Arabidopsis thaliana: one gene and its partner. The protein of the gene in region 1 interacts with the protein of each later gene in a biochemical or structural test. Each region holds a gene or a part of one and is shown on either strand. Other genes may lie near its edges. The genes, in order: HB-1 and TBP2.

Region 1 (4,715 bases):
AAACAGATAACAAGCTGTTTTTCTAATATCTACGCTTTTCGTATTTATTTCAGTTGGTTCAGGCAACAATTGTGGTAGAAGATATGATTAAGACAGAGTACTTGAAAAATGAATGGTGGTACTGGTCTTCTCTTTCAGCGGCTGCTAAAATCTCGACTCTCTCAGCGTTATCCGTCCGTATCTTCTCCCTCGACGCTGCTATCATTTATGATAAACCCATAACTCCATCAAATCCTATCGATGAAACAAAGCCGATCATCAGCTTACCGGACCAAAAGTCACAGCCGGTTTCGGATTCTCAAGAAAGAAGCAGCAGAGTTAGAAGATCTGGCAAGAAAAGGAAAGAACCCGAGGGATCCTAGTTAATTATTAAACCCACGGGAAAAAGAAAACCTCGTGAGCCCAGCCAGGGAGAATGTGAACCGGAAATATGGATTTATTATTCCGGTATAGTCAAAAGTGGAGCCAATGTGTATGTGGTAGATATAGGCAATGTTTCAATCTATCTGGAACCGGACCTGTAAGTTCCGGATGTTGAGATCCGTTTTGGTGGTTCATCATCATAAGAGGCCTAAGTCCTGTTTAGATCTTTTTCTTGGAATGGAGGTTCAACAGGTGGATGAGCCAAGGAAAGTATGTGTACACATATATGTAGAAGACTAACTAGTGTGGAATTAATTAGTATCAAAGTCGCTTTTTAGACATTAGCTGATGTTAGAACGGAAACTTCAATTATTCTTTATAATCTCTCTCTTTCTCTCTAGAGAGGCTTTCTGAAGAAGATCAATCTTTTTAACTTCAAATCAGAACACTGCATTGACTTGATTTCATAAAAGCATATAATGCAACTGATAAAAATACCGTTGAACAGCGGAATTATTCCACGAGTCAACAATTATCGTCAACATGGAAACAACAAGAAGATGACTCTTGAACTTAAATAAACACACATTTATTATCAGAGTGGTTTTCTAAGGCCATCCCCAGAAAGCCAATGATTCACCGTGATGATCGTGCGACGGTGAAGTGGTGGGCACAAAGACGTCGGCGAAACAGCTCCGGTCATTGTCATGATCACTGGCGTTGCTGTTGTCTTGGATGGGTACGATGCTTGGGAAGTAAGAGTCACAGCTGTCTAGTAGTTGAGGTGCGTCGTCGTCTAGTACCGCGCTCCCAACGCTCCCTGAACTTAACCGGTCCTCGGTTTTGATTGCTGCCGCATTAATGTAAACCGGATCAAGTTGGTTTGGTTCGGGCACTTGACCAGGTGGTTCATTAGCTGTCTCTTGTTTGCCCTGAAGCTTTTCGGTCAGGGAAGTAACCTGTCGGGTTGGAAAGATTCTAACTTTAATCACAACGGTCAACACAAGCAACCTCCTCCCATAAAAAGATAATTAAACTCGTTGATTGATTTGATTCCCCAATTTTCTTTCTTTTTCTAGTCTCTCCTCTAATTTATATATATATGATGATGGATTCTCTCTATCAGCTTGTGTTGAAAAATAGGAAAAGCATATTCTCTTTTCACTTGATGCTTTTTTTATTTTTCTCCTTTGGACCAATTAAGGTAAATCATTCAATTTGTAATCTTGTTGAGATAAATAATAGTCCCATGTATAAGTACCTCGGATCTGAGCTTATCGTTGTCCATGACGATGGAGTCGTAGTTAGAAAGAAGTTGGTCGTAAGTGGACTTGAGAAGATCGTAGTCTCTCTCAAGCTGTTTTGTTTTCCAACGAGCTCGGCGATTCTGAAACCAGACAGCCACTTGCCTTGGCTGTAGACCAAGCTTCTTGGCAAGCTGAGTCTTGCGTTCAGGCTCTAGCTTGTTCTCTGTCTCGAAGCTTTTCTCCAGCAGATGCACCTTTTACCATAATATAATGAGAATCTATCAAACTTGTTTTTGAATAGTGGATCGTTAATTATTATTGTGGATAGTGAGAGAATCTACTTGTTCGGTAGTGAGGCGACGCTTCTTTTCAGGCAACTGGTCGTCGTAAAAGTCATCGTCGTAGAGATCCTCAGGGGAGCTAAAGAAGGGCCTTCGCTTCGAAGTTTCCTCCATGTTCATCATCGATCTTGCTCCTCCTCCTTCACAAATTCAAACGAACAACTGCTGTCAATAATCGAATGAGGTATTCATATTCAAATTGGTTCTCATGTGTGTGTATGTGTGTTCCTAACGTTTTATACACAAAAACAGGGGAAATTCACCGAAAAGTAATGTGTTCCAAGATGATGAAATAAGATTAAGAGAGTGAGAAAAGAACCTTGGACGACGGGATTGAGATTCCCAAGGAAGAACATGCTGTTGCCGTGTGAAGCAGATGGATCGAAGAAAAACGAATTGGATTCCATTTTTGATCAACAGAAATAAAACAACAACTACTTCTGAGTTCTGAGAAAGAGGAAACAGAGAGAAAGAGGAAGCAGAGATAGCGAGAAGATGATTAAAAAGATGGGAAGAAGTAGGAAGGATTAGAAGATCATGATCTTATGGCGGAAGAAGCTTGTACTCCATAGTAATCTCGCAGGTGACTCCAACGGGCAGATACAAAATCCCATCATGAACTGCTATTCTCCCCTCCTTTTCCAGAGGGATCAAGATCCAACAAGAAACCTATCTATATCCAATTTTCGAATCACGTTATGATCACGTTAAGAGAAAGAGAGCCAGAGAGAGAGACAAGTTCCTTGTTGGTTTTGTTTTTGCAATGTGAGCGTCTCAGCTAAACTCATTTCCTTCAACAAGCGCCGTCTTTTATACCAACCAGCAATCCTCGTTAAATGACTCTTATACCCTCTCTTTTTTTTCCTACATCTCACACTTTGCAATCAACTGGATTAAATATTTGTGTAGTGTGTCACAGAAGAGCAAATACTATCGAGAATAACTAGGCTACAAATTTCTATCAAATATGTAAGAAATCGTACTTTGCTTAAAAATTTTAAAAATGACATGATGGTTGAATTTACTTATTTTCTTATATAATAAGTACTACTTAAAAACTAACAAAAGTTTTTCAACGAAATCTTGAAAAGGGGCAATTGTGGTAAATCGAAAGTGATTGGCTTGTTTACAAATCGGAAGTGGACTTTTCTGAGCTCTCTGGGGTCCACTTTCTTTAGCGAGTGGACTTGGAAACAGATCTCATCCGTTGGATTTGAATTATACCTTTTCTCTAAAGTTATTTATTATTATTAAAAAAAATAGTTTTATTCAGCTGTGGTGGTTCGGCCAGAGTGTGTTAAATAGGGTTGCATACTCGACGGTCGGGTCAGTGTCGGATCTACGCTTGATCCTCATTCATCTAACGGTCCTCCTCATCCTGTTACTTCCTATTTTGCACAGCCCTGTCACTGTATCACCATGTCATTAAAAAATTCATTAAAATCAAATTCACGTCATTCCTATCTTTTAGTATTTGTTTCTTATTTTAATGCACCTTGACGTCTTTGCACACAATATTAATTTCAAATTATACGTATTGCGTGACTGTTACAGCAAAATTACTCTTTAAAAATCACATTTATATGGTTAGTAACTTTGTTTTACTATTGCTATTTATGAAAAAAAAATATACTAGTATACAACCAAAATTTGGTGAATATCGATTTCATGTCACCTTACGGAGAAAAAGAAAACAGACCAGGTGCATGGAATTGCTTATCGCCGCACTAATTTAGTTATATTAACTTATCATGTTGTTTACACAAGTCCCCACGTAGCTTCGTCCTGTCTTTTTTTTTTGTTTTTCTTACACATTCAGCTATTTTCTCAGTTACCATTTTCATGATCATGTTTTCAGTGATATACGGCATTCATAAATTTATTTTATAAAAATATTCCTTGTTCGTTTTTCATTTCTTCATGACTCTTCAGCTACCCAAACTGCAAATACTCTTTATATATTAGTACACAATACATACATGGGTATGCATCTTTATACGACTTTATCAATATATGCTTACACACATACTATGGATATGTATATATTGTTGATCAAGAAAAAGCATTCCACTTTAATTTGATAGCTAGATTAATGCAATATGAGATCGGTAACAAACTGTCATCCATGATATACGTACATATAACTAAATATGATTGGCCTCTAAATATTAATAATTACACTTTAGTTATAAGAATTTCCTAAATTACTTAACCATCATAATATAACATTTTTGTGCATAACACTTCCTCATTCCACCGTATTTCTTCCGCTGCAGTTAATTATTCAAAATCCTCGTATTCCTATTTTTCGATTCAACGGTAAATATATTAATAAGAATGATGTTTTATATATAAGATATACAGATGTGAAAATATGCTTAATTATGATATTGTCTCCTTTCATTCCATGTGTTAGCCAGTTGGATATCTATGGACCTTTCCAATAAAGGAATATCTTTCAGCATCCATATAAGAATAAAAGAGGTAAAAAAACATTTGATTTAAAAATAAAATAAAATAGTAGTAGTACGTACTGAAGAAAAATTAAAAGATAAAAAGAAATTTGCCGTTCTACGAATGAGTTTTTTTTTTTCACTTATCCCCAAAAGATAACAATCTTACAGACTTACACACACACACAAATAAAAGAGAGAATAAAATTCATAATCATTATATGATTGATATGTAACCCAATTCCAAATTTAAACCTCTCTGTCTTCTAAATAGATTCCAATTTTTTTTCTATTATCACAATTCACAAGCT
Region 2 (5,427 bases), on another chromosome or scaffold:
AATGAAGACGATGGAGAAAATGATTTGGATTGGCAGCTTCAAGAGATTCTCAGGAGAAGGAGAAGACATTCCGCTGCTGTTTTGCAGTTGCTTCAGGGGATACGAGCAGGGTTGTCTGTAGAATCTGAGAGTACTGGTAATGGAGGTAATAATCCGGGACGGGTGATCTTGATCAATACCTCCAATCAGACTATCACGGTTCAAAACTCTGCTGATATGGATTCTGTACCTGCTGGTTCTTTAGGTGACTATTTCATTGGTCCTGGATTTGAAATGTTGCTTCAACGTCTAGCTGAGAATGATCCCAACAGATATGGAACACCTCCTGCTAAAAAAGAAGCTGTCGAGGCTTTGGCTACTGTGAAAATCGAAGAGACTCTGCAATGTTCGGTTTGTTTAGATGATTTTGAGATTGGAACTGAGGCAAAGCTGATGCCCTGTACGCACAAGTTTCATAGTGACTGCTTGTTACCATGGCTTGAGCTTCACAGTTCATGCCCGGTTTGCAGATATCAGTTACCTGCAGATGAAGCCAAGACTGATTCAGTAACAACAACGAGCGATAACAATGGAAGCAGTAGTGCTTCTGCTACAACCAGCCATGGAGCTGAGAACAGCGATGGAAACCGGCGCCAAGAAGAAGAAGAAGAAGAAGAAGAGGAGGAGGAGGAGGAGAACGAGAACAATGACGGAAGCGGATTCTCGATCCCGTGGCCGTTTAGCACCTTGTTCTCCTCGTCGCAAGATAGCAATGCACCAACGGATTCTAGTTAAGACATGTTCCCTGAGCAACATAAGCTTTTTGGTGTGATCATGAAATCTCGGTTCTACCTAAATCTGATCTTTTGTCTGTACATAAGTTTCTCAGATTTGGTTGAATGCTACATCTTTGGAAAACAAATATCTTTCAGTTTGTGTTTTTTTAATTGTTTTTGAGCAAATCTTTTGCCGGATTCTGTAAGTCGCTTGTGTGTTTTTTGTTGTCAACCAAAGCCACTTTTGCAACTTAGTTTGTTAAATTAATGCCTTAATGGTAAAATAACAAGATTGGTGGCTGTAGTACGAATTGTGTTGGTAATAAATTATAAATTTAAACATAAAAAGTAATTTAACATTCATCACCTTTGTTGTATGAAATGGAATTGTATAATATTGTATGCCTAATTACTTAGACCGACTCGTTTAATATGTCGTCATCCAAAACAAAATATGATGTCTTTTACTAAACTTAATGAAGTGATGCTTTTTCCTTGTGTTAATCCATGATTGCATTACCATGTAATCTTTTGTTTACGCGTAAACATTAATTAGAATTTATAAAAGCTAGAGTTCACATGTGTAAAATGCGACCAAAGTTACCAACTTTATGCGCTATTAACGAACCTTTTGACATTAACGAACTTAACTTTGATATAGTATATATACTAATATATTAACGTTTCACCAAATCTCCTTGTATATATATAAGTATTGTAGTATCAACTTATTACATTATCTCTCAGATTAGTCATAATCCAAAAGAAGAAGTAATGAATCGTCAGGTTTTATCCCTAATCACTTTGATTATTCTCTTGGTCTCCGCGTACAACACGACTATGGGCCGAACTCTGCCGAGTAAGTGACCGTCTTTGATCATACAAATACAATCACGCATAAACAAAACTCATATTCAGTTCTTAATCTCTTTTTTTATTATTATTATAAATTAAGGGGAAGGAAATGGAGCACAACAATTTGATAATCTAAAAGCTGGTGTCAGACGAAGTGAATCGGCACGTACTCGTCAGAAAGGACCCGGACACTGATGAGTGATGATCTCTAACAAGTTTTAGTTGGCACCTTCATGCAATAATTGATAATCTACTGCTTTGTAATAAGTCCGTCGTTGTGGCGATTCATAGTCTCTACTCGATTCATATTTGTGAACGTGTCTTGAGTTATAGTCTTACATATAGATCCAACAAAAAAACGTATGCTAACACATTCTGTAATAGAACACGTGGCAGACAAAGAGTGGACGGTTCCCTAAAATTCCAGTAAAGACCGTAACATTAAAATCTAATAAGCTGAATTCCCATAATTACCCTCATCCGACAAAGAGAGGCAAGGGTAGTTTAGGAAAGTATATAGAGGTAATAACGTGTCCTTAAGCTCCACAGATCCAAAGCGCAGATCACAAATCTCATCCCCAGAGAGAGAACCCAGAGAGCGATATTGAAAATCAAAACTCTCTCCTTTATATATAATCCCAATTTACAAATCTCTTTCCCTCTCTAAAAATTTCTTATCTTTGTATAAAAAGCCTTCTCCTTTTTCAAATCATTCACCTTCCTTTCGCCTTTTCGGGGGAATTTCTTCCAATCTGTTGGGTTTACGAAACCCTAGATTTCGAAATTCCGGATTGCTAACTAGCGAAAGGTCTGATTTTGTTTCGTACCCTTTGTTCCTAATGGATTCAATTCCACGGATTTTATCTGAATTGAGTTTCTTCGTAGTTGCTTGTTACGAATTGGATCTCATGTTCTGAAGTTGTGTGTTTCATAGCTTTTCGTTGTTTGATTGTGAAACAATGTTTCTAGATTTCAATTATCAAAACTGGTTTTTAGATAACCAGATTTGGTCAATGAAATTGTAAAGCTTGAAAACAATTTTGTTTCGTGGATGCTTGTTGGTTTGGATCGACATGAGTTTCTGTTTTGCCCTATTTAAGACGAGATTTATAGCTGATGTGTGTGTGTTTACGTTGATTCTTATGTTAGAGAATGGCTGATCAAGGAACGGAAGGGAGCCAGCCAGTTGACCTTACTAAACATCCTTCAGGGATTGTTCCTACTCTTCAGTGAGTTCTCTCTTTTGTGTCTCTGTTTTAAGATTCTGAGTTTGTGCTTTTGTGAATCACAAGATCTTACCTTTTTCTTTTTTGGTTTGTTTCAGAAATATTGTCTCAACAGTGAACTTAGACTGCAAGCTTGATCTTAAAGCCATAGCTTTGCAAGCTAGGAATGCTGAATATAACCCCAAGGTTTTGCTTTCTTTGTGATATTCGTGTTTTAGTAATCGATCATTTTGTTTGGTCTCCACCACTTTGGTTTGTATTTTCGGATTTGGTTTTAATCTGTGTTTTATGTTCCAGCGTTTCGCTGCTGTAATCATGAGGATCAGAGAGCCAAAGACCACAGCGTTAATTTTTGCTTCTGGGAAAATGGTATGTTTTCCTTTGTCACTTTTTCTCTTATGGCCTAATCTTCCATGTCCTTGTTTTGACGTGGCATCTATGCTGTCCAATATTAGGTGTGTACCGGAGCTAAAAGTGAACATCTTTCAAAGCTTGCTGCAAGAAAGGTAAACTAGCTCATCTCAATACTGTCTGATGTTCTTCTTCTAGCATCACTGTAGTTAGAAACTTGTTACAGCTCTAGTAGGTATTTGTTCTCTGTTATATTAAAGAATTCCTTTTTGTTGTTCAGTATGCTCGGATTGTTCAAAAGCTTGGCTTTCCTGCAAAGTTCAAGGTACTCATATGTCTCTCTCTGGTCCTGATCCAGCACACACTGTGTTATTCATTTTTATCTCAATCAACAATTCGTGTGTATTTTTATCGGAAGGAAAAATTACGTATAAAGTCTAGTAATAAAATTGCTGATTACATTTTGCAGGATTTTAAGATACAGAACATTGTAGGCTCATGTGATGTCAAATTCCCCATTAGGCTTGAAGGTCTTGCATACTCTCATAGTGCTTTCTCAAGTGTAAGTGATCTCAAGCATTGTGATCATATATACTTGTAACATGGGTGTTAATCGGTCTGATGATTCATACCTCTCTCATCATTGATGCCAGTACGAGCCTGAGCTATTTCCAGGATTGATATATAGGATGAAACTTCCAAAGATTGTACTGCTTATTTTTGTGTCAGGAAAGATTGTTATAACTGGAGCCAAGGTAATAATTGAACTTCTCTCAAATGATTAAAATTGTTTCCATGAAAATGCTTCTGTCATCTTATGAAATCCCGAATCAGATGAGAGAAGAGACTTATACCGCATTTGAGAATATCTACCCAGTTCTTAGAGAATTCAGGAAGGTCCAGCAATAATAGTATGTAAGTTCAACTTTCTTTATCTCCATTTACATTTTATACCCCTTAATCAATCAACAGTTTGATTATGACTATTTCGATTCGAAAGCAGAGCCTACCATATTGAAGGCAAAAACCATGTTCACGTTTGGATTGCCATGAACTAGAGATCTCGGGTGTTGGCAGGCGCTTGGTGGGGTTATATTCCTTGGACAAGAACTTGAAATGATTCAGATTCAAAACCAGAAATTGTAAATAGAGAATGGAGATGCCAATAAATCTCTTTTCTTTTTGTTCTAAAAATGTCTTCCAAGTAATCTTGTTTCATGTTCTGTTTGTTTCAGTGAACAATACCCAATCATTAAAGAGTTACTTAGTTCTTTGCTAACTGTTCTGTAATAAGACACCAAGTCTGTTTGCCCTTTAATATACTCTTTCAAGCAATTTGCCGCTCTGGTTTGTCAAATGTTTGGATCATAAGCTTTCATCTTTCAGTAGATAATAATCTTCGTACACATTAAGTGAGATAGTCCTATTATAACATGTTTTCGTTATCTTGAAATTCATTAAAGTTAATCGGTAGTGTTACATTAGACGAATTGATAACAAAGACATGCGATTACATTAGTCCTAGTGTAAACAGTAAACTACAGATAGTACGGCTAGTAATTCACAGTCGATTTGATTGCATCCAATATCTGCATCAAGCAAGAACACATGATATGTTAGAAACTGCGTTTTGGGTCGGAATAGAGGAATGATAAGAGAAGAGGAACTTGCCTTGTTCTTGGTGGGCATGTAGAATGGTTCAAACACAAGAGGAAATGGAGTATCCAGACCACAAACTCTGCTTACTGGAGCTTCTAACTGCATTTTAAATGACAGTTAAGAAACGGAGAACCAATAAAGAGTAGTCACTTGTAACGGTGATGATTTGAGCTTTCTTTTTACTAACCTTCAAAAAGCAACGTTCCAGAATTGTTGCAGAGATCTCTGCTCCAAAACCTCCTGTTACAGGAGCTTCATGGCTTATCTGCAACCCCAAGCACAAGCAAAAGCAATCTATAAGATCGACCAGACAAATCAAAATCCGAAGTTGTCAATCAAGATTGCTTAAATCTTACAAGAAGTCTGCCAGTCTTTTTAACTGAAGCCTCAACGGTTTCTTTGTCCCAAGGAAGCAGTGTCTTGAGATCTATCAGTTCACATGATATTCCTTCCTGCATCAACTCAAGACCTTAGTTAATATTACTGCGAACCATTCATCATTGAGTTGAAAGATAAAGCTATAAACCTTTTCCGCGTCCAGACAAGCTTGTTCCATAACGGTAAGCTGAGCTCCCCATCCA

The links.
Region 2: the proteins of HB-1 (region 1) and TBP2 form a complex in vitro, tested with the Arabidopsis thaliana proteins (one study listed by BioGRID).

Annotation. Positions count from the first base shown.
Region 1 is NC_003074.8:181,677-186,391, forward strand, and holds HB-1 (homeobox 1), read right to left. Parts: upstream 2,728-4,715; 5' UTR 2,359-2,727; coding exon 2,271-2,358; intron 2,225-2,270; coding exon of another isoform or gene 2,204-2,224; intron 2,092-2,203; coding exon 1,952-2,091; coding exon of another isoform or gene 1,939-1,951; intron 1,865-1,938; coding exon 1,625-1,864; coding exon of another isoform or gene 1,613-1,624; exon of another isoform or gene 1,323-1,612; coding exon 972-1,322; 3' UTR 720-971; downstream 1-719. Other genes in the region: MBD9 (methyl-CPG-binding domain 9), read left to right, coding at 54-362; AT3G01475 (uncharacterized protein), read left to right, coding at 1,613-1,779, 1,939-2,065, 2,204-2,224.
Region 2 is NC_003070.9:20,724,819-20,730,245, reverse strand, and holds TBP2 (TATA binding protein 2), read left to right. Parts: upstream 1-2,154; 5' UTR 2,155-2,418; intron 2,419-2,759; 5' UTR 2,760-2,762; coding exon 2,763-2,839; intron 2,840-2,934; coding exon 2,935-3,022; intron 3,023-3,133; coding exon 3,134-3,205; intron 3,206-3,291; coding exon 3,292-3,342; intron 3,343-3,467; coding exon 3,468-3,512; intron 3,513-3,656; coding exon 3,657-3,749; intron 3,750-3,840; coding exon 3,841-3,942; coding exon of another isoform or gene 3,943-3,972; exon of another isoform or gene 3,973-4,021; coding exon 4,022-4,096; 3' UTR 4,097-4,102; exon of another isoform or gene 4,103-4,190; 3' UTR 4,191-4,740; downstream 4,741-5,427. Other genes in the region: AT1G55530 (RING/U-box superfamily protein), read left to right, coding at 1-774; BCDH BETA1 (branched-chain alpha-keto acid decarboxylase E1 beta subunit), read right to left, coding at 4,741-4,776, 4,859-4,945, 5,034-5,111, 5,203-5,298, 5,373-5,427. UniProt on the Arabidopsis thaliana protein: General transcription factor (GTF) that functions at the core of the DNA-binding multiprotein factor TFIID.